Linked DNA regions of Pelodiscus sinensis. The protein of the gene in region 3 interacts with the protein of the main gene of each other region in a pairwise test. Links are inferred from orthologs where the notes say so. Each region holds a gene or a part of one and is shown on either strand. Other genes may lie near its edges. The genes, in order: EXOC1, SNAP91, TRAF3IP1 and DMD.

Region 1 (7,197 bases), on a different chromosome or scaffold from region 3:
GGCTATGCATGTCTTTGTGCTCCCACCTACCCAAGGGCATAAAGGAAGGGCTGCCTCAATCAACCCTCAGTTCCTATACTAATTCAGAATCTCAAGTAAAGGGGATGCTGAAAAAATGGGGATGGAGGAGACTCATTAGATCCATCTGGATGAAGAGATCTCATAGAACTGTAGTGATATACCATCTCATAGAGCTGGAAGGGATCTTGAAAGGTCATTGAATCCAGTCCCCTGCCCTCACAGCAGGACCAAGTACTATCCCTGACAGATTTGCCCCAGATCCCTAAATGGCCCCCTCAAGGGCTGAACTCACAATGCTGGGTTTAGCAGGCCAATGCTCAAACCACTGAGCTATCCCTCCCCTTACCTTATAAAAGGTGAGTAACTGTTTTATCTTCTTTGTCTTGAAAGTAACAAAGAGTGCCACTTTTGAAAGGTGGGGTTGAAGATTCCTAACTACTACTAAATAGTGACTGTAATATGCCCCTACACATTTGCCATTTGATCTTATAGCCTCTGCAATTTTTGCTGCAGTTCACTGTAAGTACTATGAACCTAACACAGCTAAATGAGACAATGCAGCATTGCAACTTCAACAATGTTATCCCTCTTTGCATCCCTCCACTAGCTCCCCCTCCTTTAGGATATCAAACATTAAACTGCTCATTTTCACTTTCAAGTACTTTCATAGACAATCCGCACCTTGCTTGTCTTTCATTGGCTACTGATCATCACCTCCAATTGGCCCATGAGGTCAGCCTTCATAATTCACTTGTTAGTTTTCAAATAAGCACTTTTGTGCTCTCTCTCATACTCTCACTTGTACTTGAGAAGAGCTCACCATAAACATTCAAAAAGCTATCCACTTATCTTCCTTCATATCCCTCCTTAATACTTTCTCTCGCTGTGATGCTCCCACCCCTCAAAAAAAGCAAACCATCACCCTTGATGATAGGGGGGCTCATATGCTGTGACCACTGTTTACGACCAATATTGTCTCTGTCTCCTTGTACTCCATCTGTTTGAATCCATATGTTGTCTCATGTCTTGTCTTTAGAGTACAAGCTCCTTTGGCCAAGAATTATCTTTCAGTACTGTGTTTGTGTAGCACCTAGCACAATGCAGTCTTCACCCATGACCCTGGCTCAAAGGCAGATAAAGTAATAAAAGAGTAATACGAATAATCTGCAATACCATTCATTTCTCTCTAATTGCACACACTGTAGCAATCAGTACCTGCTTCTCTTCCATAATCATCTTACCTAAATATTCTTAGAAGCTGTCTCCTTCTCTATTTCAAGATGTACATGAGATTACATAAGTGTCTAGTGAGATGCCGTAGACCAATGTTTCCCAATTTTATTTGGCCACAGAACCCTTTTAAACTTGAAAGAATTTTGCAGAACCCCTAATAAGAGTCTTATATATGGAACTGAAAAAGGAGACCACAAATAAGTAAGGATAATAATAAACAAATGCTAAACAAGGTCATGAGATCACCATTTAGTTTAATTGCAAATATTTAAAAACAAAAATGACAATATTTTCTTGCAGAACCCTTATTTTCACTTTGAACCCCGAGGTTCCACAGAACACCATTGAGGAAACACTGCCATAGGCTGTACTGATATCACAACACAGATTAAACCCAGCAAAACATTTTCCTTAGACGCTACCAAAGCTACCAGAACAATGTGTACATTAGGGATGTTAAAATGTGTTATTTGTATAATTGTGTACTAGCAGAACATTTTAGCAGGTACACTTTTACATGTGGGGAAAGGAGGCGGGAGCCAGTGCCTGCAGAGAGCCCACTTTTAAGCAGACTCCCCATGAGAACCAGCTCCTGGCTGCCCTAACCCATGCTGCTGCTTCTGTGGGAGCCATGAGTGCAGGTGGGTGGGAGGCAGCTCTGTACAGCATGCACAGGGGGCCAACTTAAAAGCTGGCTCCCTGAGTGTATTGGCTCCCACCTGCTGTAAATCAATCTAAGTTACAATTTAAGTTAAGTAAATTATGTAATTTAACTAGTGGCCTCCATACTAGTTAAGTTTAGATCAACTTAACTACAGGTCTCCAGTGTTACCCCTAAATAACATAACTAGAGCAACTTAAGAGTTAGCACTGACTGTTAGTTGTGCTTAGGTCCCCTACATCATACATATGCTAGTCCTATTTGTCTCTGGTGTCAGTATTATCTGCAATATATGCAGAAGAGATTATACAGATTATAATGAACAGCCCGTTCCAAGCTTTCAACGTATGCCTCGCCACGACAGCTACATATGCTGAACTCCCAGGGTGAATGTCCTGTATCCGGCACGGAGCAGGCAGCAGGACTGGCCCCTGTCCCAGCACAGACCCAGTCCCCCCTCCCGAGACTGCACCTAAACGCCTCCGAGATCCCGGGCAACACACACTCCGGTCTATTCGAGAGAGACATTGAACCCACGTCGCGGGCGCTGCGGGTTTTACCCCATTTGCTGACGCGTTTCCCGCGGGGCGCTCCCAGCCTGGCCCGACGGGACCGCGCCCCTTGGCCCCCGCTCGGTGCCGGGAGACACGTGTGACGCCGCGGGGCCCGGTCGGCGTGATGCCCGTGGCCGCCGCCGATGGCGAGGAGGGAGAGAGGGGCCGGGGGGGGGGGGGTCAGGCCACAGCGCGCGGGGCTGCCCCTGCAGAGCCGGGAGCCAGGCGCAGGCGGGGCCGCTGGGCTCCGCGCGAGGGATGCTCGCAGCTCTCTGTGCACAGCGGGGCTACCGGAGCCGACGCCCCCCTCCCTTACCGCGGGGCCGCGCAGGCGGGCGCAGGGGCTGGGGTGGTGGCTCCTCCTTAGGCCGCAGCGGCTCCGCCTCCGACCCATCTAACGCCACCGTTCGCAGAGATCCGGCCGCGGCTGCCGCAACGCAGAACCGCGGCGTCGACCTCTTCCTGTCACGTGACAGGGTCCGGAAACACCGCAGCCCACTGGGAGGGGCCTCAGGGCTGCCGCGTCTCAAGAGGGCGACCCCTGCCGGCAGGAGGGACAACAGCCCGGCCACCGCCGCGCTCTGCGAGGAACTGGGCGGGGAAACGGTGGAACGAGCCAATAGGAGCTCAGGCATGAGGGAGAGGGCTCACCTGTGGAGGAGATGGGGGGCAGCTGATCTGGGACTGTGGGAGGCGGAAGGCTCATTAACTCCTGTGGTGTGCATGGGGAGAGTGGAGCAAAGTGGGGCAGCAGGGTCATCAGAGTCGGGCCCCCAAAGCACCTGAGAGCAGAATTACATTTTAAAATGTATGTTTTAACATTTATCTTTCTGCTGACTAGAATCCCTTTGGCAGGTGATCTGGGGATGCAGCCTAACTCCAGAGAGAATTGCCCTCTACTTCTCACTGACGGGGTTAATTCAGTCCAAATGGCATGTAAAATACTATTAGTCTCATTCCTTATGCAGAGCTTTACCTGAAAATATGGAGATAAAGTGCCTGGTCCCAATGAGTTTGCAACCAGGTAGACAAAACACCAAATGATGGTTCTAAGTAGGATGCAACAAAAGCAAACGTTGATTGCATATTGAGGTATATGATGTTTGTGTATGGCTTTGTGATGGAGACAGCTAAAAGATTTTATAATTTTTTTAAAAAATTGGGGATATTTTTGTTTTGGAAGTAACATTAATTACTACAGCTGTCAGTTGCAGTTAACTCTTGATTAGAATTGTGACCAAGCAGAATTTATTTTTTAGTTAATCACACTGTTAAACTATAGAATACCAATTGAAATGTATTAAATTTTTGGCATTTTTCTACATTTTAATACATATTGATTTAAATTACAATACAGAATACAATTGTGATCACAAGAAGTCCTCGCTATTCATGGGGCGATATGTTCTTGAGATCCTTGCAAATGACAATATCCATGAATACTGGAGTGGGAGTATTTGCGACACAACATAACACATTGTTTGAGTAGTAAATTCACTTTACATTAAGTCCCATAACCCCAATTTCAGATAAGTAAAGGCCAAATGGCTCACCTTACACATAATGGAAAAGCAGATATATCTGGAATTGAAAGCGGAAGTTATTTAATAGTACTTTGCAAAACCACCCAAGAGTTTTGGATAAGAAATGAAGAAATCCATAGCCTATTAAAACTGCAAGGAATTACCTGATTTGGAATTTATTCATTACTTCAGAATAAATACCCCTTCTTTTGCAAAAAGTATCAATGAAATTTTAGTAACCAGAAAGGTTCAGGACTTTGGTTTTACACTTAAGCAAAAGGCATCTCCAGCAGCTCCATGTACTCTAGCACCAGTACTAATTCAGAGGAAAATAGGACACAGAAGCACTAACATCTGCAACATCTACAGTTTGGATTTTGACCTTTCAAAGAAAGACTCAGCTCAGGCATGCACAGCTAATTAGATCTGATAGGATCACAACACACAATGATACAGTGAGAGATTGTGTTTAAATTCTGCCTGACATTGGCATATAACTCCCATCAACCTTGAAAGAGGAGATTGCAATTTGGTCTATACTGTGAGTGAGCTTCTCTTCGTGGTCAATAAACCTCATTCACATTTAGCAGCAGTTGCATAAATTATCATAGAAATATAGGGCTGAAAGAGACCCTGAAAGGTCATTAATTCCTCTGTGCTGATGTAGGACCATATACATTTTCAACATCCCTGACAGGTATTTGTCCAGCATGTTCTTAAAATTTTCCAGTGACAGGGGGTGCCACAATCTTCCATGGAAACCTAGTCCAGAGCTTAAATCTCCTGAGGGTTAGAAAATTCTCCCTAATATCTAACCTGAGTTTCCCTTGCCACAGATTAGCCCATTACTTCTTGACCTACCCCCAGTAGACATAAAATCATATTCTCACAGCTCTGCAAGTCTCTCACACATGAAGAAATGAGATACGACTGAGATTCTTGCAGGTTACTGGCAGTCAATATTGAAGTACCAAGGGACGTGCTTCTAGGTGGATATATATTACATTTGTAACTCATAAAACAATATACTGTGTACTTCTTCTGTAATGTATCATTCATGAGGGGCAAGGTTAAAAGAAAATTTACAATCTGATAATTTCTCACTCTAACCACAAAATATAACTGTCTCTCGTAGGATCTATAGCAGACTGGACAAAGTGCCTGTAAAAGATTGTATAGAATTTGTATGCAGCTTTAGCAGCATATTACTTATATAATCACTTTTTAAAATTCCCAGTTTTTCTGTCTTATTTCTATTGCCACAAAACCAAAAGAACAATGTTAAGAATTAATTAATACACTGGGTTACATCTTTTAACACACACATTATGAGAGTCTCTTTTAAGGCATGCATAACACTTTCACCTCTCCTCTCATGCTCTCATTCCATAAGTGGACTGAGGGACCCTTACATTTTGCTATACTAATTTTAACTCTGCCCCTTGTGACAGTGTGTTCTTTGATAACATAAAACAGCCTTCAGTTTATGTTGGAAGAAGAAATGAGGAAGTCTTTAATTTATTTTGTGGAAATACATGGAGGTGGAGTATCCAGATGACAGGACAAAGAATAGTGGAGGGGAGAGCTCTGGGCTATCCCAGGAGTGGAGGTAGCATGACATAAATTGGATCTCATCTGCAATAGGAACAAGGACCTAAAATAAGACTGGTCAGGGCAACCTGAACTCTTCCATTGTCCAATTCACTTCAAATAAGGTAGAAATATTCTATCGCAATCTATGTCTTACAGATTTTAGCCTACTAAGCCTTTGTGGGTTTTAGAGGAGAGAATGGCAATGGAATTGGCTTATCATGGAAATACAGTTGTAACCTGAACTATCGAATAGCTGAAGAGACAAAATTTCTCAATACTTTAAATGACTACTTCTTGGAGCAGTTAGTATAGGAACCCACAAGGGGAGAGGCAATTCTCGATTTAGTCCTGAAATGTGAAAGTGCAGAACTATAAACTATGGTTTGTAATCTATCCTTTAAAACAGCTTCAGTACCCATGACTGGAAGGGCAACTAAAATGATTAGGGGTTTAGAATGGGTCCCATATGAGGAGAGATTAAAGAGACTAGGACTTTTCATCTTAGAAAAGAGGAGACTAAGGGAGGTCTATAAAATCATGAGTGGTGAATAAGGAAAGTGAACAAGGAAAAATTATTTACTTGTTCCCATAATATAAGAACTAGGGGCCACCAAATGAAATTAATGACCAGCAGGTTTAAAACAAATAAAAGGAAGTTCTTCTTCACAGATCGCACAGTCAACCTGTGGAACTCCTTCACAGAGTGCACAGTCAAGCTTAGGGCCCCGGGCTGGGACCCGGAGAGAGGGTGGGACCGGGTCCCCCTCCCTCCACGAAGGGAACATCCCACTACCCACGGCCTGAACAGAGAGACGCTACAAGTCACAACCCCGCAAGGGGAAACTCTGAACCAGGGGTCTGCTGCCCCACCCCGCAGAGACGGGTAACTATTGACGGGTTCGCTGACCCCCCCTTCCTCCTGGGAGGGGGTGATTGCACCCATTGTCGGGGGTTCCCCATTGGGGCCCCGGGGGCCGAATAGGCACTAAGAGGGGGCACTAGGGTTCGCTGACCCCCCCTCTCGGACCAAGAAGGGGTGATCGCACCCCGAAACCCCCACAACTAGCATGTGCCTTTGCGCAAAAGATTTGCTTTTGCGCAAAAGCATCCGTGTCAGTGTAGACACTCTCTTGCACAAGAAAGCTCCGATGACCATTTTAGCCATCGGACTTTCTTGCGCAAGAAATTGATGTTACCTGTCTACACTGGCCTCTTGCGCAAGAATACTTGCGCAAGAGGACTTATCCCTGAGCGGGAGCGTCAGAGTATTTGCGCAAGGAGCACTGATTTCATACAGTAGAACATCAGTGTTCTTGCGCAAATACTCGCGGCCAGTGTAGACAGGCGGCAAAATTTTGTGCAAAAGCAAGCGCTTTTGCACAAAATCTTGCCAATGTAGACATAGCCTAAGTGTCTGTCACTGCTGTCTCTCTGCTTATTATATTTTGGAATACCGTCATCAGGAATTAGCGGAAGCCTCAGCTGTCACATTTTAAACCACACTGTTTAAAACACCAGAAAAGGTGCTCTAGGGAACAATTCTGCATTTGTAGAGAAATGGGCTAGATGATCTGTCACGATTTTTCCATTTATAATTTATCTGATACTGTAT
Region 2 (7,458 bases), on a different chromosome or scaffold from region 3:
TTGAGGTTTTTTTTAAAGTTCCAGGAACCATTGTCATAGTTAGAGGGCTAGCTGCATCTCTATGTACTTACGTAGGCCTGATGTACATTAGACCAGGAAGGTCAGTTTAAGGTACGCAACTCCAGCTATGAAAAATGTGTAACTGGAGTTGGCTTACCTTAAGCCAAACCTTGGCGGCATCCACACTGCAGGAGGCCAATGGGAGCAAACAGTCCCATCAACTTCCCTTACTCCTCGCAAAAGGAGAAGTACCAGATGCTGATGGGGGCTGACCTCAGCATTCGATTTGTAGGTCTATACTAGACCTGCTAAATTCAATACCTGAAGATTGACCTCCGGAGCATTGATCTTCTGGTAAGTATAGACATGCCCATAGTGTACCCCTAAAGTCTCAGATCTTTACTTATCCTGGGACAGAATTCAGTTCTCCCACTTGCAGATCAGGATCTGGATTACAGGCTATGTATCAACCATATTCGTGCAACAGGTCTGCCTGAGACTGTGACCAGTGGAGTACAGTGATCAAAAAGCCTTCTTGAAACAAGAGTATTGTTTATTTTAACAGTAGGAACAAAGTATTTAGAGAGAAATTTTTTTATTACAAAAACAGTTTATGTCTGCCTATACCTTAATGTTTATTATTTCCAGAGGGTAGGCAGGCCTTAACTTTTTCAGACCTAGTACCTCCTAGCTCTCCACATGCCTGTGTCTCAGTTTGGTTCCCCAAAACAAGTGTCTCCTTTTTTTAATGTTCTTTTTTAAACCTGCCTACTTTTTGAATTTGAAAAGGCAATGGTATCCTAGGTTTCATGATAAATGACTAATTGATCTCACAGATCAATGAGGGCAAAGTTTCTCTCTACAGGTGTGCCTACACAGCACAGTTATTTCGAAATAACAATGCAAGCATCTACACAGAATTCTGTTATTTTGAAATAATTTCAAAATAACAGATGGCTTATTTCAAAATCTGTAAACCTCTTTACATGAGGGAGATTGGAGTCAGTGGAGACTTTGGGGCAGGGAAAGAAGGAATTAGTTGTATTGAGGATTCAATGAGAAGGAATGGAAAGGATTGGAGAGGCGTGTATGATTGGAGGGCTAGGGGAACTAAGAGCAAAGAAGACCAAGGGCAGAGTCAGAGAGCTGCAGGCAGCATAAAGAGTTGGATAAGGTGTTGCTGGGGGAGAGGTGGAGGCTAGGTATACTATGAATGACAGGATTATAATTAGCTTGACAATTTTTCTACATAAAGCCCAGTTGTGTTAAGTGCTGAAGTAGTTGGTGATGTAACTGAATGCTATACTGACAGAAACTGACAATGCCAAGATTGACCATCTTCACAAAGTAGCCAGAAGTTCACACTACAGTTCACACAGGCTACTTAATGTCATATTTTAATAGAAAACTGTATCACTATTCAAATATGTCATTCCTTTAAAGATAAAACCTGTTTTCCTTAGCTGCTTCAAGTCTCATTAAGGTGAAATTAGTAAGGATTTAGAATGGCCTTAAAATAGCCCTTTAACACCCAGCATGGTGGTTTTTTATCATTATTAAAATACTAATATCCTAGTTAAAAATACCTATCCTATCTTCTGAAATTCAGGACATTCTAAACCCTTGTTAGTTTTACTGGGCAGAAGTTCAGAGCCACCCTTATTGCCAGCGATAAAACTTTATGATGAAATAGCTGTGAAAATTAAATGCCAATTCTGTGTCTTCTATTGAAATCAGATGGTACTAGAAAATAAAGAAACCTTGAATTATAGAAAAATATTTGTGTGCATTTCTGCTATTATTGCCTGAATGGCATCTCCAAAGACCCCCTCTTTTATAATAAACTGCTGTAAAAGTTAATGTTCCACTTTAAAATGAAAGGTACATTTAAAACATTCCTCAAAATATTAATGTCTATATTTCATACAAATAAACAGTTAAAGGCACGTATTTAAATTATAGACTTGTGCAGAATGGATCTTCATTCATGGTGCTGCAGTTGAGCACAGTTAAATATACTGTGGTAAATATATATTCTCATAAAAATATATTATAAGCAAACACACAGAGCAATCTAATTTCTTATCTTGGACTTTCTACTATGAGAAGATTCAAAGCTGCTCATCACCTGAATCTTTCAATCTCCAGTTTTGAAAATATCTAGATCCCTCCATATCTACTGAATATGCCAAATTTGTATTGTAATTTACACAATCAAGAGTCTGAAATAATATGTATGGGTGTGTGTGAATATTTCAATCTGTGTTAATTCTGCACCTTTGAAAATATTGTACCGTTAAATCCATGTGTTGTCTACATTAGTTGTAAAAGAATCTAAAAAGAAATGATCACACTTAAATTCTTAAAATTCTGCCATCATTCTCAGGTAGATATGAATATGCAATTTGAACAGTTTTGAATATCGTAATTTGCTACAGATTTCTTGAAATGCAGTAACCTACATTTTTGAGCCTCACTATAATATATTAATATTTCACAGGAGTCAGGGCAGGGGGCTGGAAGTGTGGGGAGGCTCAGGGCAGGAGACTGAGGAGTATGGGGGTGGGGTCCAGGAGTCAGGGCAGGGGATGTAGAGAGGTTGGGGGTGTAGGGGTGCAGGAGACAGGGCAAAGGAGGGATCAGGGCAGGGGGCTGGGGTGTACATGTGTAGGAAGAAATGTTGGGGGGGGCTGTGGCTGGGTAACATTACCTGCTGTGGGTAACATCACCTGCTGGTGGGTGGGTCCTGGGTGGGTCCTGCCCAGCTGCTACTATTTGCTGCCAAAGGAGCTGTGAGCCAGCTGTGTGCCAAAGACATCCTGTCCATAGGATAGTTCGGGGCAGCTGCCTCAAGCCCTGAGCTTTGGGAGTTCCAATGGCAGCTGCTTCAGTCATCCTATGGATGGGTCTCAGGGCTGCCTGGGGGATTACCAGGGGCCTGGCGCAGGGCAGCAGGAAGGCTGTTCCCACGCTCCCCAAACTCACCACAGCACTGGGGAGCTGGGCAACTCAACAGGCTGCTCCACCCCACCACCTTCTTCCAGCCCATTGTGCTTGGCTTCACCTCGGCAGTGGGAACAAGAGCACAAAAGGCTCAGTGAGAGTAGCAGAGCAGAATGGAGTCAGCTGCTGGGTTACTCCAGCTCCCACCACAACAGTGGGGGTGGTGGGGAACCCCTACTTAAGTCACTGGGGGAAGGAGGCTTTAATAAGGCGACAGAGCAAAGGCAGGAAGTGGTGGGGTGGAGAGGCTTAGGGGAAAATGTAGGGGAGGAGCAGGGCGTGGGACCTGTGGGGGCAGGGTTGTTATGGGGTTGCCACCCCCTTCACCTGGCTTCTTTCCAAAGGCCGCCCACAGCAGTGCATGCCGGGCACTGCACATGTACTGCCCAGCATCCAGCGAGAGAGGGGCAGCAAGAGCCTGGCTGGGAATGCACTTGCCTCCCCTACAGCATGCTCCTGTCAGCCTCTTTCACATTTGCCTACCTCACCTGGCTGCTTGTGGTGTGTGGGGCCACCTGCAGCAGGGGAGCCCTGAGTGCCTGCCTGGGAGAGCACTCCACAAGTTTTGCAGCATGCCTCTACCTGCATCAGCATTTCCAGAGTAGCTCACAAGGTCACACCACCTCAGCTTCATCTTTGCTGTCACAGAACAGAAGAACCAGTAATAGGGAGCAGATTTAAAACAAACAGAACATACTTTATCACACAACACACTGTCAACTTATGGAACTCATTGCCAGCGGATGTTGGAAGGCCAAGAGAATAACTGGGTTAAAAAAAGAAGCAGATAAGCTAATGGAAGACAGGTCCATCCATGGCTATTAGATATGATGGTCAGGGATGCATCTCCACGAAACCCCTTTGACTTCCATAAACTGGACCTGGAGAATAAGGAGTGAATCATTCAGCATTACCCTGTTCTATTCACTCTCTCTCAGACGCACCTGGCACTGGCCACTATGGGAAAACAGAATACTGGCTAGATGGACATTAGTCTGACTCAGAATGGCCATTTATATGGTAACTGTAGTTCAGCTTCAAGAGGCTTAAATTAGCCACCCAAATATCTGCAGTTTAAAAGTGTCTGTGTGTCTGTGTGTACATACACCTGCCCATCCTCAAAGGAGCCTGGATATCAAACATAATTCAACAGTTTAAAATATTTTAAAATACTAAATGTTTTGCAAACGGTCAAAGAAATATTCTAATATGAACATAATCCCACCCCCGTTTAAAGGGAGAGAGACCCAGCCAGAAGATGAAAGAGGCAAACCAGGCAAGGAGGGAGCAGAGGCAAATGAGAGAAGATGGTGCAAGAAACAATGGGGGGTGGGGGGATTGAGAACCACGCGCAGCGCAGGGGAAGCGAAGCCCCGAGAGTGGCTGGAGGGGCTGGCTCACCTTGGGGCTGGGTGCGGGAGCCGGCTGGGTGTCCCCTTTAAGAGCGCGGCGTGGGGGGCTCTCCCTACGGCACCTAGCGGTCCGCACGTCCCGGTTTGTCCGCGCCGGGTCACCTGACTTGGCTGAGCCACAAACCTGAGGAGGGGCCGGGAGGAGCAGGAGGGCGAGGGCGGCGCGCCGGGCTGGTACATCCATTGCTGCGCGGCGGAATTGGGCTAGGAATAGCGGCGGGCGGGGCCGCCCTCACCTGGGGCCGGGAGCCTGGCCCGGCCTGCGGGCACCGGCGGAGGAGGGGCTCGGCTCGGCGCCGCGGCGGGCGGGGGCGCTTTCCCCGGGAGCGGAGGGAAGGACGCGCTGACAGGTCGGCTGCTGCCTCCCAGCCCTGCACGCGCCGCTGCCTGCGGCCGGGTCAGCTCGCTGCAGCCGCGGCATCCCCGCGGGGCCTGGGGTGCCCTGAGCTGCTGGGGGGCTGCTCCGGCCGGCGGCCTGCCCTTGCTCCCGGAGCGGCCGAGAGGCGCGGGCTGGGGGTGGGAGCGGCGCAGGGAGGGCACAACATGGCGCAATGATGCGATAATCCCCCAGCAGAGAGGCGCGGGGAGGCAGGCGCTGGGAGCTCCCGTTTGCTGCAGTAGCAGCGAGGAGCGGCCCCGCCCGGGGGGCTCAGTCATTCCCGGGGGGCTCGCGGGGCTGCCAGGAGCGCGGCGCGGGGGGGGGGGGGGAGGGCTCGTCTTCTTCCATCTCCCCTTCGCCTAGCTCAGTGGGAGAGGAAGGTGAGTTCCGCTCGGCAGCGGCTGCTGCCCCGGTCGCGTTGCGCGAGGGACGCAGGTTGGTGGCGGGGCGGGGACGGATGCGTTGTGTGTGCGCTGCCTTTTCTTCTGCAGTGCCTGGAATACCCAGTCTTGCCCCGGGAGCTGCTCCGGGCTCTTCTGGCAACGCACGCAGCGGGGCGGGGGAGGAAGGATTGTCTCTGCTGGAAAGGGCCCCGGGGGCTGGAAGAGCAGCGTCTCTCCTCGCTTTGTCATTAAACCCGGACTGTCTCCTTCTCCCCTGTGTTTCCCCGCTTGCAGAAGAGGCAGCCGCACTAACGTTAGTCGAAGATGTCGGGTCAGACGCTGACAGATCGCATCGCAGCTGCTCAGTACAGCGTTACAGGATCAGCTGTAGCCAGAGCCGTCTGCAAAGCAACCACACATGAAGTGATGGGGCCCAAGAAAAAACACCTGGACTGTAAGCATCTCTTTATATAAGCATTACATCCTCAGGGCTAAGAAGGCAGCCTAGTGCCTTAAATGTTCTGACAATAGTATTTGATATTATCAACCCTTCAAATCAGAAGGCTTATGAGAGTAGCTGGTATGAGGGGGAGGGGAGGAATGGATTTTATTCTTGCATATCTTCTGTAGTCCCATAATATTGTTCCCTCAGCCATTTTCTCTCATTTTGACCTCTAGCCTTAGTCCAGAAAGGCAATTCTGAAAGGCGATGAGGGTTATTGTACCCACCTATGACTTGAGTCATGATTAGGTTGCTTTTTGACATGGATACTGAACCTGGAGCTAGAGTATTGATATATGTATGTGGTTATAATACAAAGATGGACTCAAATTTTATTATGTTGAGTCAAGGGGTTTTTTTTTTTTTTTTTTTAATAAGACTATTGTGTCAAGGGACCCAGTTGTTTGAGGAAAGCAACTATCTCATCTGCCTATCTGATGTACCTCCCACAGTGTTTTGGGAAGAAGACTGCTGGTTTGCTACTGTACAAACTAGAGATTTAAAATCTGTTTTGGACATAGAGAGTATTTAACTTGAAACAAGAGCAAGTGCACAAGTTCATGGCATCCCTGAAAAATAATGGCATATCTGTAATGTTTTGCGTGTGTGTGTGTCGGGGGGAGGGTGTTTTGGTAACTTAACATGGGTTCTTTCTGATTCACTGTTATTTCACTTTTGACTTTGAGAAAGAGGTGGGCAGAATTTAATCATACAGCGTAGAGCTAATTTTTACTGTAGCTTGGTTTGGACAGAAAAGTGTATTTGTACCGCAATGTCTTGATAGTCTTGTAAGGTATTTGAAAAATGAGGGGTTTTTTGTTTTGTTTTGTTTCATTTTTTGTTACAGATTAGCAAGATGTTTTTCACTGTTTAGTATCTGGAAATATTAGCTCAATAACTGTCTCTTTAAAGCAGTGTTTTATACTAATACTAGTCAATTTGTGTTCAAATATTTGTATTAAAATTATATTATACATTTGCTATTCAAAAGGACAAATAACTTCTGACAGTATTTCACATTCTAGTGTTTACTTCAGATACTCCTTGTACCTATAATCATTATGTAAACCCTGTACTTGAAAGTGGTACTTGCTGCAGATAGTCATTTGCCAGGTACACTTGAACACATGAGGATAGATTCGTAATGTGTGCTAGGTGTTAGAGTGCTGCTTAAGTTTTGTTGCCTCAAAGTAGTTGTTTGTTTAAAAAATCATAATTGGCAATGATTCTTGCATATTGAATTTAGACAATCATTAGTACATGTTGCAACTGGTTAGTCTAGGTACATAAGTGCAGGTCAACAAGCTCAGTTAACAATATATAAGGCAGTGTACTTTATCACAATCAGTAGAACCAGGAGTGACCCATAGCTAGGCCATGTGATTGTGGCTCACATAGTATATTCTAATTCAACAGAATCTGAGACTGAATATGTTCTATGTTTCTTGCCTTCATGATTAAAAGGTTAGCATCACACATGTGAAACAGGTGTAAACTGAATCAGCGCTATTTGAGTCTTCAGGCTTCAAACAAAGCTTCTGGGAGTTGTGAACTCTCTCCTGTTCCGTTGGACTCCATTAATAGCCGTAGGATACCAAATGTAAATGCTACTTATGTTTAAATATCAGTATTAACTATTTAACTACTGATCTCTTGAGTGGATGGGATGAGGAAAAGACTCAAGTCCACAGCTGAAATGGGAGGGAAGGATTAGACATGGAAAGAAAATGCAGTAGGCCGAGGTTCAGAAAGTGACAATCAAGTAGAAGAATAGAAAAA
Region 3 (7,624 bases):
ACTGAGTTGCATATTTTTCGTGTTCAGCCAGGTGGTAAAGTTAAATTCCTTATGCTTAACAATCTTGTCTGCATTTTAGCTGTGACACTCTGAGTACATTTCCCAGAACTGGCAAAGAGTTCTGTGTAAGCTCGAAAGGTTGCCTCCTCCACCAACAGAATAAAAGATGTTCAATATCCAATAGAAGATATTCCTTTCCGCACCTTGCCTCTCAATGAGGAGAGAACAGATTCAGAGAAAGACAATAGCTGGAGGCTTGTTGTAACATGTTCCTTCACTAGATATAATAGGAACCGCTTCTCCTGATTGTACAAGCAGATTTGTTTCATCTACACTCAATAGTTTACAAAGTCCATTTAATTTGAGTCAAGAGAATAAAACAAACAAGATTTTCTATTGACATTCAATGGTGTATACTTTTGACAACACAAAGGCTGGTTATCACAGTTTTGGTTTTATTCAGAGCTACCAAACGCTGATAAGGCAGCCAGAGTTGTATGAGGGGTCAGACTAGCCTCGTCTAGTCAATAGATTGAGCAGACAAATGTTAAAAGAGAAACAATAAGTTTTTAAATGCTTGCTACAGAAATGGAACATAAATGACCAAAAGGAACAGGAAGATGTTCAATATCTAATAGAAAACTGGAAAACTGAAAGGATGATCTAAACAGGTACTTTCATATCTGGAAAACAACCCAAAATGGCAACTTACACACTTTCTTGGTTTCTACCTAGAGCAAAAACAGTGGCAATAGTTTTTTTATCTTGGGGGGGGGGGGGGGAGGGGAGGAAAAATCAGCTTTGCTTGAAAGATTTATAGATCATAAGCTTTCATGGGCAAAGATCCACTTCGTCAGATGCATGTAGTAGAAATTCCAGAGGTGGGTATAAATAGGCACATGAAAAGAAGGGAGTACCAATCAAGAGGAAGGCCAGAGAGGTCAATTTAGTCAAGGAGGATGAGGCTCACTTCTAGCAGCTGATAAGGAGGAGAAACTGCTTTTGTAGTTGGCTAGACATTCAGTTTTTGTTCAATCCTAAATTGATAGTGTCAAATTTGCAAATGAATTGTAGTACTGCAGAAGTACAATTCATTTAGGGTCTGACCTCTCAGCGTCTGAAAGTTTGATAAAACAAATCTTCAGGCAGGAGCTGCCAAACAAATATGTTGAGTGTGTGCAGAGCCATAGTCTATGTTGTTTAAAATAATGGACTAAAAACCAAGTTCCATGCGGAATAGCAATCATAGAACCATAGGACTGGAAGGGACCTCGAGAGGTCATCGAGTCCAGCCCCCCGCCCTCAAGGCAGGACCAAGCTCCGTCTACACCCTCCCTGACAGATGTCTATCTAACCTGTTCTTAAATATCTCCAGAGAGGGAGATTCCACAACCTCCCTTGGCAATTTATTCCAATATTTGACCACCCTGACAGTTAGGAATTTTTTCCTAATGTCCAATCTAAACCTCCCTTGCTGCACTTTTAGCCCATTACTCCTTGTCCTGTCCTCAGAAACCAAGAGGAACACATTTTCTCCTTCCTCCTTGTGACACCCTTTTAGATATTTGAAAACCGTTATGTCCCCCCTTAATCTTCTTTTTTCCAAACTAAACAAGCCCAGTTCATGAAGCCTGGCTTCATAGGTCATGTTCTCTAGACCTTTAATCATTCTTGTCGCTCTTCCCTGTACCCTTTCCAATTTCTCCACATCTTTCTTGAAATGTGGCGCCCAGAACTGGACACAGTACTCCAGCTGAGGCCTAACTAATGCAGAGTAGAGCGGCAGAATGACTTCACGAGTTTTGCTTACAACACACCTGTTGATACAACCTAGAATCATATTTGCTTTTTTTGCAACAGCATCACACTGTTGACTCGTATTCAACTTGTGGTCCACTATGACCCCTAGATCCTTTTCCGCCGTGCTCCTTCCTAGACAGTCATTTCCCATCTTGAATGTATGGAACTGATTGTTCCTTCCTAAGTGGAGCACTTTGCATTTCTCTTTATTAAACTTCATCCTGTTTACCTCTGACCATTTCTCTAACTTGCTAAGGTCATTTTGAATTATGTCCCTATCCTCCAAAGAAGTTGCAACCCCACCCAGTTTGGTATCATCTGCAAACTTAATAAGCGTACTCTCTATCCCAATATCTACATCATTGATGAAGATATTGAACAGTACGGGTCCCAAAACAGACCCTTGAGGAACTCCACTTGTTATCCCTTTCCAGGAGGATTTAGTACCGTTAACAACAACTCTCTGACTACGGTTATCCAGCCAATTATGCACCCACCTTATCGTGGATCTATCTAAGTTATATTTGCCTAGTTTATCAATAAGAATATCGTGGACATCCATGTCTTCTGGGCAGTTTGACCCTTAAGGAGTAATAGTTATTTTTAAAATATTGAATATCAGCAGTTCACAAGAATGTTCCAAGAAAGTCTGTTCCCTAGCACATGCCAATTCTCTTCTAGTGCTACATTTTCTTGGAGCACTTGGCTTGGTTATGTCTCTCAATTTTGACTTGATTTTACTGTTCCTAGACATATCTATTTAGCTGTATTAAAATGCATTTGTCTGCTTAACAATCCAGATAACACTGTAGCAGTGACCTGTCCTTTTCATTATTGACCACTGCACCAATTCCACATTTTTTGCTTCCAGAAAATATCTCCTCTCTCCTTTGGAATGTTCCTGGAAACTGAATGGAAATACTTTGCTCAGCTGTGTACTCCACGGATAAGAAGTCTCTAGTCTTCATATTTCTCCCCTTTTCACAGATCCCACTGCTGACACCATGTCACAACTTCCTACCATAATGTGGTGAGATTGAATGGAGCTCCCACTCAGTGCAAGTTCTAGCCAGGGCACCTAAAATAGAGACCAAACCTCCTCTGTGTCATTAATGCAGGACACTTCCTTCAATTCCAAGTGCTTCTCTGTGGGCCCAGAGGGATGTCCATAGTCTGTGGGCTGTTTAGCCTTTGACTCTAGCTAAACCAATCCACCCTTTCTCAGCATACCAACTCGCCATCCAAATAAACAGTGAAGTTCACATTTAACAACCCCTGAGGACTCTCCCTCCCAGTCTCTCAGGCATCATAGATACTTCATGGAGAGCTAGTGGCAGAAGTCCAAATGAACCAGACCATTCCAAAATAAACACAGTTCCTCCCCAGCTTCTTCTTCCCACTCCTCTGGATTCCTAACAAGACTTCTTACAAAGTCCTTGGCTGTAGGAAAGTGTCAACACCTCCTCTTCCCAGGCTCCTCAGTTCCCCTGAGGCAGAGTTAGTCTGGGAATCTCGTCAATTTCAGATTGTCTCAAAGGGAGAGGAAAGAGGCAAACTACTTCCTTTGAGCTCTTTGTGCTGAAGTACCTTCTATCAGGTGTCCAGAGGCAAACTTGCCTGAACTAATGTGAATTTGTGCCTCTCTCCCCCACCCCCTAATTTGTTTCTGAAGCAGTTTGAGAGTCCTGATCAGTTAGTCTCACTCGGCCTCTCAGCTGTCCCCCAGCACTTGGACTTGAGTTTGTCTGAGGAAATACTAATGTTTGGGGAAAGGAAAGTTGGGAGGGATACCAGTCAACCTGTAACAATTCCTGCTTTAGTGCTGGGAGCTTGGGCTGATAAAGGTGTATAGGTATATGGGCTCAGCGAGTGCTCCACAGACTTTTGAAGAGTCTACATCTGCCTGCACTAGAAGCAGCTGGGGTTTGTGTCTCCTTGTCATCTCTGGGGTGCCTGAGCAGTGAGTCAGGGCTTGGGGTCAGGGTCTGGGAAGACAGATAGCTGAGACCCAGACTTGCCCACCATGGGAAAGCTCAAGGTTTTGCCCTTCTGTCACGTGGGACTCATGCTGACCACAGAGCTTCCAGTTTGGCATGAAATCATTAGCTTAGTGGGAAGTGCAGAGAGCCCGCAAGAGACCTGCTGGAATGGGAGCCAGGCCAGCTCGGGCCTCTGGGGAGAGAGAACTTGGGGTGGCCCTTGGGCAGGGACAGACTCAGCCCACAGGCACCATAGGTACAGCCAGGTGAGGTGTATACCCCTGTGGGGAGATGAAGGGTGGCAGGGAGCTGCTGGGCCCAAGTGTGCCCCACAGGCATCCCTATTGCCCCATACGCAGCCCTGTGCCCCAATTGCCCCACAGGCATCCCTATTGCTCCACGGGCAGCCCTGTGCCCCAATTGCCCCACAGGCAGCCCTATTGCCCCATAGGCAGCCCTGTGCCCCAATTGCCCCACAGGCATCCCTATTGCCCCATAGGCAGCCCTGTGCCCCAATTGCCCCACGGGCAGCCCTATTGCCCCACGGGCAGCCCTGTGCCCCAATTGCCCCACGGGCAGCCCTGTGCCCCAATTGCCCCACAGGCATCCCTATTGCCCCATAGGCAGCCCTGTGCCCCAATTGCCCCGTGGACGCCCCTGTGCTCCAAGAGCATCCCTATTTGCCCCCGCCCCGCGCGCCAGCTCTGCCGCCCGGACGCCCGGCCAGGGAGCGCGGCAGCGCCATTGGCTCCTGCGCGGCGGGGCGGGGCCGGGGGCGGGGCCGAAGCAGGCGCCTTCGGCCCGTTGCTAGGGCCGCGGTGGGCAGCGAGCGGCCGGGGCGCTGCGCCTGCGCACGGCGGGGGCGAGGTGCATGCCGGGAGGGCGCAGCCGGAGCCGGCCCGGCCGGTGCCGCCATGGACGGGGCCGTGGTGCGGCGCACTCAGGAGTCGCTGGGGCGCGTGATCCGCAAACCGCCGCTCACCGAGCGCCTGCTCAGCAAGCCGCCCTTCCGCTACCTGCACGACGTCATCGGCGAGGTGGGGGCGCCGCGCGGCCGGTTGCTAGGCGGGGCCCGGGGGTGGGGGGCTGAGGGGCGGGGCTCGAAGGGTTCTGGGGGGCTCTGGTAGGGCGGGGCTCCCTAGGGGGCGCTGGGGGGCTCTTGAGGGCGGGGCTCCCCAGGGGTGCTGTGGGCTCTGTGGGGCAGACCTCAGGGGGTGCTGGGGGGCTCTGGTAGGGCGGGGCTCCCCAGGGGTGCTGTGGGCTCTGTGGGGCAGACCTCAGGGGGTGCTGGGGGGCTCTGGTAGGGCGGGGCTCCCCAGGGGTGCTGGGGGTTCTGTGGGGCAGACCTCAGGGGGGTGCTGGGGGGCTCTGGTAGGGCGGGGCTCCTCAGGGGGGTGCTGGGGGGCTCTGGTAGGGCGGGGCTCCCCAGGGGTGCTGGGGGTTCTGGGGGGCGGGGCTCAGGGAGTGCTGTGGGCTCTGGGGGGCAGAGCTTAGGGGGTGCTGGGGGATTCTGGTAGGGCGGGGTTCTCTGGGGGCACTGTGGGCGGGGCTCGGGGTGCTGGGGGACTCTGGAGGGCAGAGCTCCCCAGGGGGTTGGACGCAGGACCCCACTGGCCTGGGACCTTGGTGAGCCCCCCCCCCCCCCCCCCGTGGTGCCCTCCCATCTGCCTGGAGGAGGGCGTGCAGCAGTAGGGGGAGGGGTAGCTATTTACCTACCTACCAGCAGCTAGGGATGTGAATGGGTAACTGGTTACCTGGTGAGCATCACCCTTATGCTTCTGCTGCCACTTCCCCTTCCCTCAGGGGTGCAGGAGCAGAAGCTGGCTCCCCTGAGCACAGAGGGGACAGAACCCTGAGTTGGAGGGTGGGCACATGCAGGAGCAGGAGCCCATTTGTTTGGTTAAACCAGAGGTGTAACTAATTAACAGATTACCTGGGATTTTACATCCTGACCAGCAACCCTTCTATTGCTTTGGTTTCTCTCTCACTCTTTTGCCTTTTCCAATGTGTGAAATGGAGGCAAGAATTTTTGCTCCTCTTAAATAAAAAACAACACCCACCCCCATCTCCCAAACCTTACAGCTGCAGGTGAAAGATATTACCAAAGTAGAAAACATTTGTGGTCGTTAGTACTACAGTAGGTGCTTGTTTACAGCAACACCTTATAAAAGCAACCACTGCTTATGAACATTTCTCGTGGGAATGCTTTCCCCACCCACCATGACCTGGCAGCAAGCCCTAGAATTGCAATAGGTGTTTAGAAGCTAAGTAGCAAAAGGCGCCCCTGTGTGGCTACTAATGAACATCTACTATAGAATAAAAGGTGAGCACTCCTACACTCTGAAAGATATTCACAAAGCTTATCCTTTTTTGCCTTCTTTTAGTCAAAGGAAGGTCAAAATGGATTATTCATTAGAAGATGTTAAATTCCCTGAACTCAAGTATGTGCATGTCTATTAAGAAATCAGCCACCACGTGTTAGGCAGTAACAGAATACATCGGGACTGTCGTTAAAGTATATGGCCTTTGGGTGTATTAACTGTAATTTTCTGCGTAAAACAAAAAGGCTTCATCTACACTGCAGGCTATTCTTGCACAAAAACTTGCAGAGCGTCTATGCTGCACGCGCGTTCTTGCGCAAGTAAATTTACAGTACAGCGTTGGAAAACACGGCTTCTTCCAGAAGAGTTATTCCTCTTCCCATGAGGAATAAGCCCTCTTGCGCAAGAGCTCTTCCACAAGAAGGCAGTGTAGACAGGCAATAGCGGTTTCTTGTGCAAGAAAGCCCTATGGCTAAAATGGCCATCAGAGCTTTCTTGCACAAGAGAGCATCCACACTGCCATGGACACTCTTGCGCAAAAGCACATCTCTTCCACAAAAGCACATGGCAGTATGGACACACTCTTGTAGAAGACCTTTTGCACAAGAACTCTTGTGTAAAACAGTTCTTGCACAAGAAGTCTGCAGTGTAGACGTAGCCTTTAAAGTGAATCTTCTGTACTGCAGAGATATAATGATTCAAAGGAAGGAGACTTTAAAAAAAAAAAAGAGCAAGCTTCAAATGACTTATTGAAACCCATGACAGAAGAGATCATTGCAATAGAAAGGATCTTTAAAACTGCACCACCAAAATAGTTCAGCATGAAATAGCATCCCTCCAAGTGATTGCAGAAAGTTTGTAAAAGATGGGGTTTTTTGGAAGCTTTCTAGTTTTTTTTTTTATTATTATTAATTTACTGTGTTTGCTTTGAAGGTAATTAGAGTGACTGGTTTTATGAACGGGCTTTACACAGACTTTGAGATGAAATCTGATAATGTGAAGGTGGGTTTGAAATTTCCTTATTTAATGTTGGAATTCTTTATAACTGGTCACTAGCTATTGCCACTTTGTTTCACTGAATTCTATTTACTATGATAAACCTACACTCATCTGAAGCTAATGCCCAGGAATATGCTTAAATGCTGCCTTTTTAAAAGTGTGGTGGTGGTGGTGTGTTGTGGTTGTGCATAGGCAAATAACTCTAACTTTTTGTGTATTGTTTACTTACATAAAAAACGTTGAGATTTTTACAGAATCTGTTGGTGTTGTTTGATATCTTGAGAACTGTTTATTAAACACCTTTTGTGCATATTCTTACCAAGTTAGGTGCTTGTACATGGAGCGGTAAAGTGAATGAGTTTTCATGTCTGGGTGTCTGAGTAATGAAGTGGAGCTCTGGGCCCTTTGGAAAGATTGTCATGTGCAGGAGCTCTGTAATGGACTGTCAATGTCATGAGCTGCATAAAAAGCTCCAACACTTGTGTTAGTAGTTAACAGGTATTTTATTGTTTGCAGAAGTGTACT
Region 4 (6,989 bases), on a different chromosome or scaffold from region 3:
TAACGCAAGTCTGTGAATTTGTCTCAAATTCAGGCAGTGTTTCGGAATCTGTTTTCTTGCAAAAGAAGCAGCAACCACCACCCAATTAGTTTTGGCCCAAAAAAACAGCACCAGCCTCCAAACATGATTTTAAGTGTCCAGTATTGGAGGGGTTTTAGTTTTCTTATGAGAGTAACATGCTCGGCTTCCTTGCAAGTAAATGGAGTTCACTTCCAGTGCCCATTAGATCCCTTTGAAAATCCCATCTGTAATAAGCCCCATGAAAAAACAAATTCAGATTCCTCCTGATTAGAATTTAAAACTGTGTGGTCAACAGTCTAAACCCTCAAATAATGGTACAATTATTAGAGACGATACACTGCAAGTTATAATATAAAAACCAGCTTTCTAAATTCCATGGCTAATGTAAACACCCAAATTATTTGAGTACAACAGAAATGGAGCAAAGTAGAAAAATCTATTTTAAAACATTGAGTTGTTTTTGCTCTGATTATAGTACAATGTGCTCAACGTTTCTATGTCACTTAAATTGGTCTGGAGACAGGCTTTCAAGGAAAATTGAGAGGGAAGAGACAACAAGGAAGTGTACATATGAATACATCTTGTCATTTTGTGTTACTCACATTATAATTAACTATATAAAGAAAACAATTTAAAAAGCAAAAGCAGTTTCTCACAACTAAGCAATGCTTTAAAATACAAAATCAATCGAGTCATTTACTAAGCAATAAGTTATGTCCCTGAGTAAACCACTATAACTTTCCTGAAGCAATCTCTGGAGAATCACATCCTCCCACATTCAGAAAAAATATTTTATGTAATTCTTCAAGCTTTTAGTTTCCAATTAATATCCACTCTAATACAGAAAAACATGCTAATAGCGGATTCTTTTAAAAAGAGGTTAAGAGTTGTGTGTGTGCAGTGTAGTGGTTCTAGTCTACATCTACCAAAATATAAGTGGCCTAAGTTCAGATTTGGGTTGATTCACTGTTGAGCTGTGGGTTGCAGTGCCATTATCTGGATCAGAAATCAGTGTGGAAGGAACTCACTCTAACTTTTCTTTCCAGCTTTTCCATTGCACAATGATGCAATTTCTCAACAAAGAAACTTTGTTTTCAGAGCTGTAAGTAGTTTTGAAAAAATTGGGCGTGGAAGGATCTCTGCAGCACTAAGTACACTGCCTCTACTCCATGATCCTACTTTCCGAAATGTTGCACAGTAAAGTCCAAGTACAAAGTAGACCCTTTCATCTGTGAGTTTAAGAAAACCACTGTACAGTGAATGCAATACTAAGAGACACACCTTAAGGAGCATAGATTCCAAGGAAATACTTTGTGTTAGTACAATTTCAAAGAAGAATTGCACTGATAATATTGCAAGTCTCTCTCTATTCTGGGATAATGAGAACCATGCATCAGTAGTCTAGAGGGAAAGAAGGAGTTTATTCTACATTTTGCCAACCCAGAACTTTGTCAGCTAAGTTAGTTACCAATAGGCCAGAGGCTTCCCAAAAATCATCTGGAAGCAGAATTTTTACTGAGGTAGCTGTCTTACAAATTGAACTGGAAAAAACTTCTCACTCTCTGAGGGATTGTTATCCTCTCTCCTTTTTACTCTGGCAGACTAGTGGACTTTTTTTTTTAAAGCTGAAATAATTAAATACTCCTATATTTCTGTGTCTATTTACATTGTAAATGTGTAAATTCTGAATGGTCTATAAATAACTTTACTACCCAAGATTTGGTTTCTCTCCAAGTCTAAACAGAGGGAGTCCAGACACCTGAAACTTTAGCATATGGGGAACCAGCATTACAGCTGCTTCCATTTACAGCTTTAATGGCCTGCCCCCTTGCCCACATGGCACCACAATTTTGTATGAGTGCCTGAGCTCAAGAGTTCTAGTTTATAAGGAAAAGCTCATACTAAGAACATCACTCCAAACACTTATTCCTGGTTTTCTAAACTTTGCTGGAACGTCCCTCTACAGTTCATTAACCCTCCTCGAGTGTTGAAAATTATTTATACAGCATTAAAAATGCATTGGTCCGCTCTCTGCTAACTGCATTAATGTTGCAATAAGTGAATACAACCAGCTACCTCGGTCTTTGCATGCCTGCCCATCAATTTCCTATCTTGTCAGCATGGTTTCTTTCCAAAAGTACAAACTGCTCAGCTTGCATTAGCATTGAGTTCTTGACAGGGAAATGAGTGTCTGGCCCAATTAAATAAGCGCTCATTTCGTTTACAGACGATCCAACTATTTTCATACATGGGATAACGGTGATCTTTTCTTCCCCGCCTCGCATGTGAACTTCGCATTCCCCCAGGGTACGACTTTATGTAGCAATCTCGTTTTATTGGGTTTCGGGTCAGATCTTCTTCTTGCAGCTGGATAACGGAGAAACTTTCCCCCGACACATCCCCAGCTGCGGAGGAATTCGTTCCTTCCTCGGTGGGACACAAGAGGAGGCGACCCACTGGCCCACGGTCGGTGGCTTTGCATGTAACCCACCCAGGCGCCCCCTCGGTGCACACACACGCGGTTCCTACCAGATCTGCTCCTGATGATATCACTGAACTCGTCCGCTGCAGGCTCCTCGCGGGGGTTCTCCGGGCGGCCCCCTTCAGCCATGGCCAACACGCCCCGCCGCCACACGGGCTCTCGCTCGGCTCCGGCTCCGCACCCAGAGGCGCCTTGCAACTCAAAGTTGACCAAAAGGAGGTTTTTGTGGTTCTGGGGGCGGGGGCATAAGCTCAGCCTGGCTCCCCCTCCCCAGCCCCAGCGAGGAGCAAAGGAAAGGGAAACGGGCAACCCAGGCGCTGGCTGGGAGCTGTCAAACTCTGCTCCCCGGACAGGCGAGAACAGGTGCTGAGCCCCGCGCGTCTGCCTTAAAATAGAGCCGGCGGCTCCAGCAAGGTGAAAGAGGAGGAGGTTTGATACTCGATAAATCAGCAGCTAACTTGGGAGACTCCAGAGACTCCCTTTCCGCCCCGCGCGCGATCAATGCAAACAGCAGCAATTAGAGAGCAAATTGCTAAAAGAAGCAAACAGGAGCATGAATGATTTAGCAGCCCCCACTTAAAAGCGGGCGCTTTAATGCAGGGAGGGATTTAGAAAAACACGCACCCCACCCCCACCCCACAGTGACCCGCCTTAGCTCCCTCAGAACAAACTCCTCGGGCAAACAGCCTGGCTCTGTACCTGAGGCCATGGCCAGTCAAGGGAGTGGCAAGTATTACACTCCCTTAATCATGCAAAGCACAGTATTACACTCCCTTAATTATGCAAAGCTGGCCTCTCCCTCCTCCATCGGACCGTCACAGGCAAACTTGGTTAGGAGTCCCACTCTATTATGAGTCAGTACTCTGATTTATTTGGGTCCGGTAAAAAAAAAAATGCAGCAGTAGGCGAGAGAGCAGCCCCCTTACAATCTGTAGTCCAATGGTTAGGCCACAGCCCTGGAGTATATCAAACCCAGGTTCATGTCCACCTGATGTGCAGAAGGGACTTGAAGTTGGGTTCCTCACCTGGGAGGTGACTGACCTAACCCCTGGGTAGAAGGCTATTCTCTTGCTTGTGGGGGAAAACAAGCTCTCAGTCTCTCCCAGGGGAGCAGTTCCACTCAGCAACACCAGTTAAAGAAATCCAGAGAGTAGGGCTATGTCTACACTGCAGGGTTTTTGCGCAAGAACTCTTCTGCAAAAAACTTTTGCACAAGAAGTTTTTTGCAGAAGAGTTCTTGCGCAAAAACATCTTGCACAAAAGCGTGTCCACATCTCAAAGCATGTTGCTTTTGCAATGCGCTTTTCCGCAAGAGCGCGTCCACACTACATGGATGCTATTGCACAAGAAAGCGCTGATGGCCATTCTACAAATGGCCATCAGAGCACCTGTGCTTTTTCGGATAGGCTTTCTGCACAAGAAACCCCTGCAGAGTGTCCACACATGCCTTTTTGCTCAAGAGCTGTAGCCCAAAAAGGAGTTATGACTCATAGAAGGAGGTATACCTACACCACAAAAAGCCCTCTCTTCTGCCAATTGACTGTAGATTTTCTTGCACAAAAATGCACTTGAGGTGTGGATGCTCCATGGGTTTTTGCACAAAAATGGCCGTTTTAATGCAAAAACCTTGTAGTGTAGATGTAGCCTGAGAGAGTGCTATAGACCAGTGGAGGGGAGAGACTCAAGTCAACCTCACTTCTCTACAAGAGGTAGAGAGGCAAATTGACCCTTCTCCCACCATCCAAGGTGAATGCTCTAATCACTGGGGGAACTGCTACCTCCTCACCACCACCAAAATACACAGCTTAGGCACATCACTCCAAGACACAGTTCCTAGATGTGGGTCCCTAAGAAAGACAGGCTTCTCTCTCCAGCCTGGGCTTAGGTGCCTACTTCCAGGAGAGGAGTGTGGCATAAACTGCTCCCCCTCCTCAATATTCTCCACTGGCTCTCTTAAGCAATGACCCTTGCAATATGCTGGCATCTGTAGCTCTCTTTCTAGAGCCCCTCTTTCTCCCCATGCAGTTCCTAGGGAGTATAGGCAACTAACTCAAGGTTTGTGGATTGTGCTGGGTGGGCAGGTGTTTAAAGGTAAAGTACAGGCAGTCCCCGACTTACGCAGATCCGACTTACGTCGGATCCGCACTTACGAACGGGGCTTTCTCGCCCCGGAGGTCGAGGTGGCGGATTGCTACCTGCGAGCTCCGGGGCGAGAAAGCCCCGTTCGTAAGCTGCTCCCGGTGCCCCTGGTCTGCTGGAGACGGTCCCCAGCAGACCAGGGGCACCGGGACTGAAGCCGCAGCCGCAGCGGGATCCCGCGCCTGAGACTTCGCCAGAGCAAAGCCTCAGAGGCACGGCACCCCGCTGCCACTCTGCTCCCCGTGTCCCTGGTCTGCTGGGGGAGAGGGGCGCAGCTAGTGTGCCGCCCCCCCCTCCCCCGCAGACCAGGCTTTTGTTGTGGACCCTGGGGCAGAGCAGCTGGGGTGCTGCCGATTGGTCCTGCAGCGCTGCTCTGGGCACTACTGGACCAACCCGGCAGCACCCCAGCTGCTCTGCCCCAGGTCCTGATTCAGCCGCTGCTGGTCAGTTTCAGCATCGGCTGAATCAGGACGCCTGGGGCAGAGCAGATGGAGTGCTGCTGGGTTGGTCCAGTAGCGCCGAGGAGCGGTGCTACTGGAGCAACCCAGCAGCACCCCAGCTGCTCTGCCCCAGGCGTCCCCAAGTCAGCCGCTGCTGAAACTGACCAGCGCTGACTACAGGAAGCCCGAGGCAGAGTTGCTCTGCCCCAGGCTTCCTGGAATCAGCCGATGATCAGTTTCAGCAGCAGCTGACTTGGGGACGCTTGGGGTTCTTAAGTTGAGTCTGTATGTAAGTCAGAACTGGCGGTCAGTTTCAGCAGCGGCTGAATCTGGACGCCAGTTCCGACTTACATACAGATTCAACTTAAGAACAAACCTACAGTCCCTATCTTGTACGTAACGCGGGGACTGCCTGTAATACAACACTTAAAGTCCTTTGGAGACCTAACCAAGAGCAACACTTACTGTTGTAGGAGAGTTTACAGTAAAGCCAGTTGGAACCAAGTCAAGGAAACAAAACAAAACAAAACAAAACACACGTTCCAGAATCCCTAGGATGGTGATTTTATTTTCTTCAAAAACACAAACATTTCATGACAAGAATCAACCCAGAAAGGGCTTTTGGAGGCTTCTGGACCCTGCTTGCCTGCATAGTGCATTTACATGCACCCGCTGAGGTGTAATTTGCAGAGTGCAGCAACAGTTTGCATACTAACTTCTCCGTGTGGACTCTTCTGGCTCTTACTAAAAGTTCCCTCGTGCACATTGATGTAGTCCTGTCTTAAAAAAATATGACATTAATGTACACTAGGGAACTTGTAGCATGCACAAATGTCCACAGGGACAGTTACTGCACAACAGTCTAGTGCATACTTGAATTTGCACCCTCGCTGAAGCTCACTAATGCACTCTGTAGACAAATACTGTGACTTAAAATATCCAGAACTGTGGCTTTCCAAATCCACAAGCAGAGAGCTTCCACTGAGTCACATAAATTGACTTTCCCTATTCCCAGACAACTTGGCAGGTGCTCACTAAGGGCATAATCCTGAGAGGTTTTAATACCTCTCAGGATGAGACCTTATATAACCAGGATTTCTCTCTCACACCCCAGATTGAGCAATGCAAATATTTCTTACCACAAAACTGTCAGGAATATATTCTTCCTTAAAAGCCAGCTAAGAGTGCCTTGTACTTCCACAATGCTGTGTAGAATACATACCCTGGTTCTCCCTCTTCCTATAAACTCAGAACTACTGTCCATTTAAATATTCATTTGCTTCAATGTAAATATATGTACTATTTTCTCATGAGTCTACAGCTCTCAACAAGTTGGAAATATGTGTGTATATAGATGGAAAAGCTTAGACACGCCTTAGAGTAATCACATGGAATTCAAAACCTAGTATCACTTTAAACACTCACTAAAATTATCTCTGGGAAGGATGGGGGTGATACTTTATCTCAAAAAATGCCTGTTAAGTTTTGTTCTCTATCAACTTAGAAATTGTTTTGTCCAACTCCCAACTTTACAAATATAACCCACTATATAAAAAGACAAGCTGTGTTTTCTCCTTTTAATCCACCATCACAAAGAAAAAGTCCTACCAATAAAATTATACTCAGTTACACCTGCAGAAGAACTCAAAAGAACAAACTGGAGACAAAAAGATTCCATGCATATTACTGATTACCTCCCAAAGGATGCTATCTGACTGCAGAGACCAACCAACAGAGGAGAAAGGGTGCTCAAGACACTGTAGTAAGATTTCCAAATAAAAATTTCAACTTTTGACCAAAATATTTTAAGTTTTCATAGTAAATTTCAACATTTTTTTCTAAAATTTTCTACAATGGAATTTTTTTGACTATAGAGTAATTTAGTACTGTACAGTTTTCAGGCTAAA

Evidence for each region.
Region 1: the proteins of TRAF3IP1 (region 3) and EXOC1 interact in a two-hybrid assay, tested with the Homo sapiens proteins (2 studies listed by BioGRID and IntAct). The link is inferred for Pelodiscus sinensis from reciprocal best matches to the Homo sapiens genes TRAF3IP1 and EXOC1.
Region 2: the proteins of TRAF3IP1 (region 3) and SNAP91 interact in a two-hybrid assay, tested with the Homo sapiens proteins (2 studies listed by BioGRID and IntAct). The link is inferred for Pelodiscus sinensis from reciprocal best matches to the Homo sapiens genes TRAF3IP1 and SNAP91.
Region 4: the proteins of TRAF3IP1 (region 3) and DMD interact in a two-hybrid assay, tested with the Homo sapiens proteins (2 studies listed by BioGRID and IntAct). The link is inferred for Pelodiscus sinensis from reciprocal best matches to the Homo sapiens genes TRAF3IP1 and DMD.

The regions. Positions count from the first base shown.
Region 1 is NC_134715.1:84,576,029-84,583,225, forward strand, and holds the start of EXOC1 (exocyst complex component 1), read right to left. Parts: upstream 3,002-7,197; 5' UTR 2,786-3,001; intron 1-2,785.
Region 2 is NC_134713.1:60,610,126-60,617,583, reverse strand, and holds the start of SNAP91 (clathrin coat assembly protein AP180), read left to right. Parts: upstream 1-4,438; 5' UTR 4,439-4,589; intron 4,590-5,471; 5' UTR 5,472-5,501; coding exon 5,502-5,631; intron 5,632-7,458. UniProt on the Homo sapiens protein: Adaptins are components of the adapter complexes which link clathrin to receptors in coated vesicles. Clathrin-associated protein complexes are believed to interact with the cytoplasmic tails of membrane proteins, leading to their selection and concentration.
Region 3 is NC_134717.1:64,455,907-64,463,530, reverse strand, and holds the start of TRAF3IP1 (TRAF3-interacting protein 1), read left to right. Parts: upstream 1-4,602; 5' UTR 4,603-4,693; coding exon 4,694-4,816; intron 4,817-7,033; coding exon 7,034-7,102; intron 7,103-7,624.
Region 4 is NC_134711.1:198,904,293-198,911,281, reverse strand, and holds the start of DMD (dystrophin), read right to left. Parts: upstream 3,014-6,989; 5' UTR 2,633-3,013; coding exon 2,551-2,632; intron 1-2,550. UniProt on the Homo sapiens protein: Anchors the extracellular matrix to the cytoskeleton via F-actin. Ligand for dystroglycan.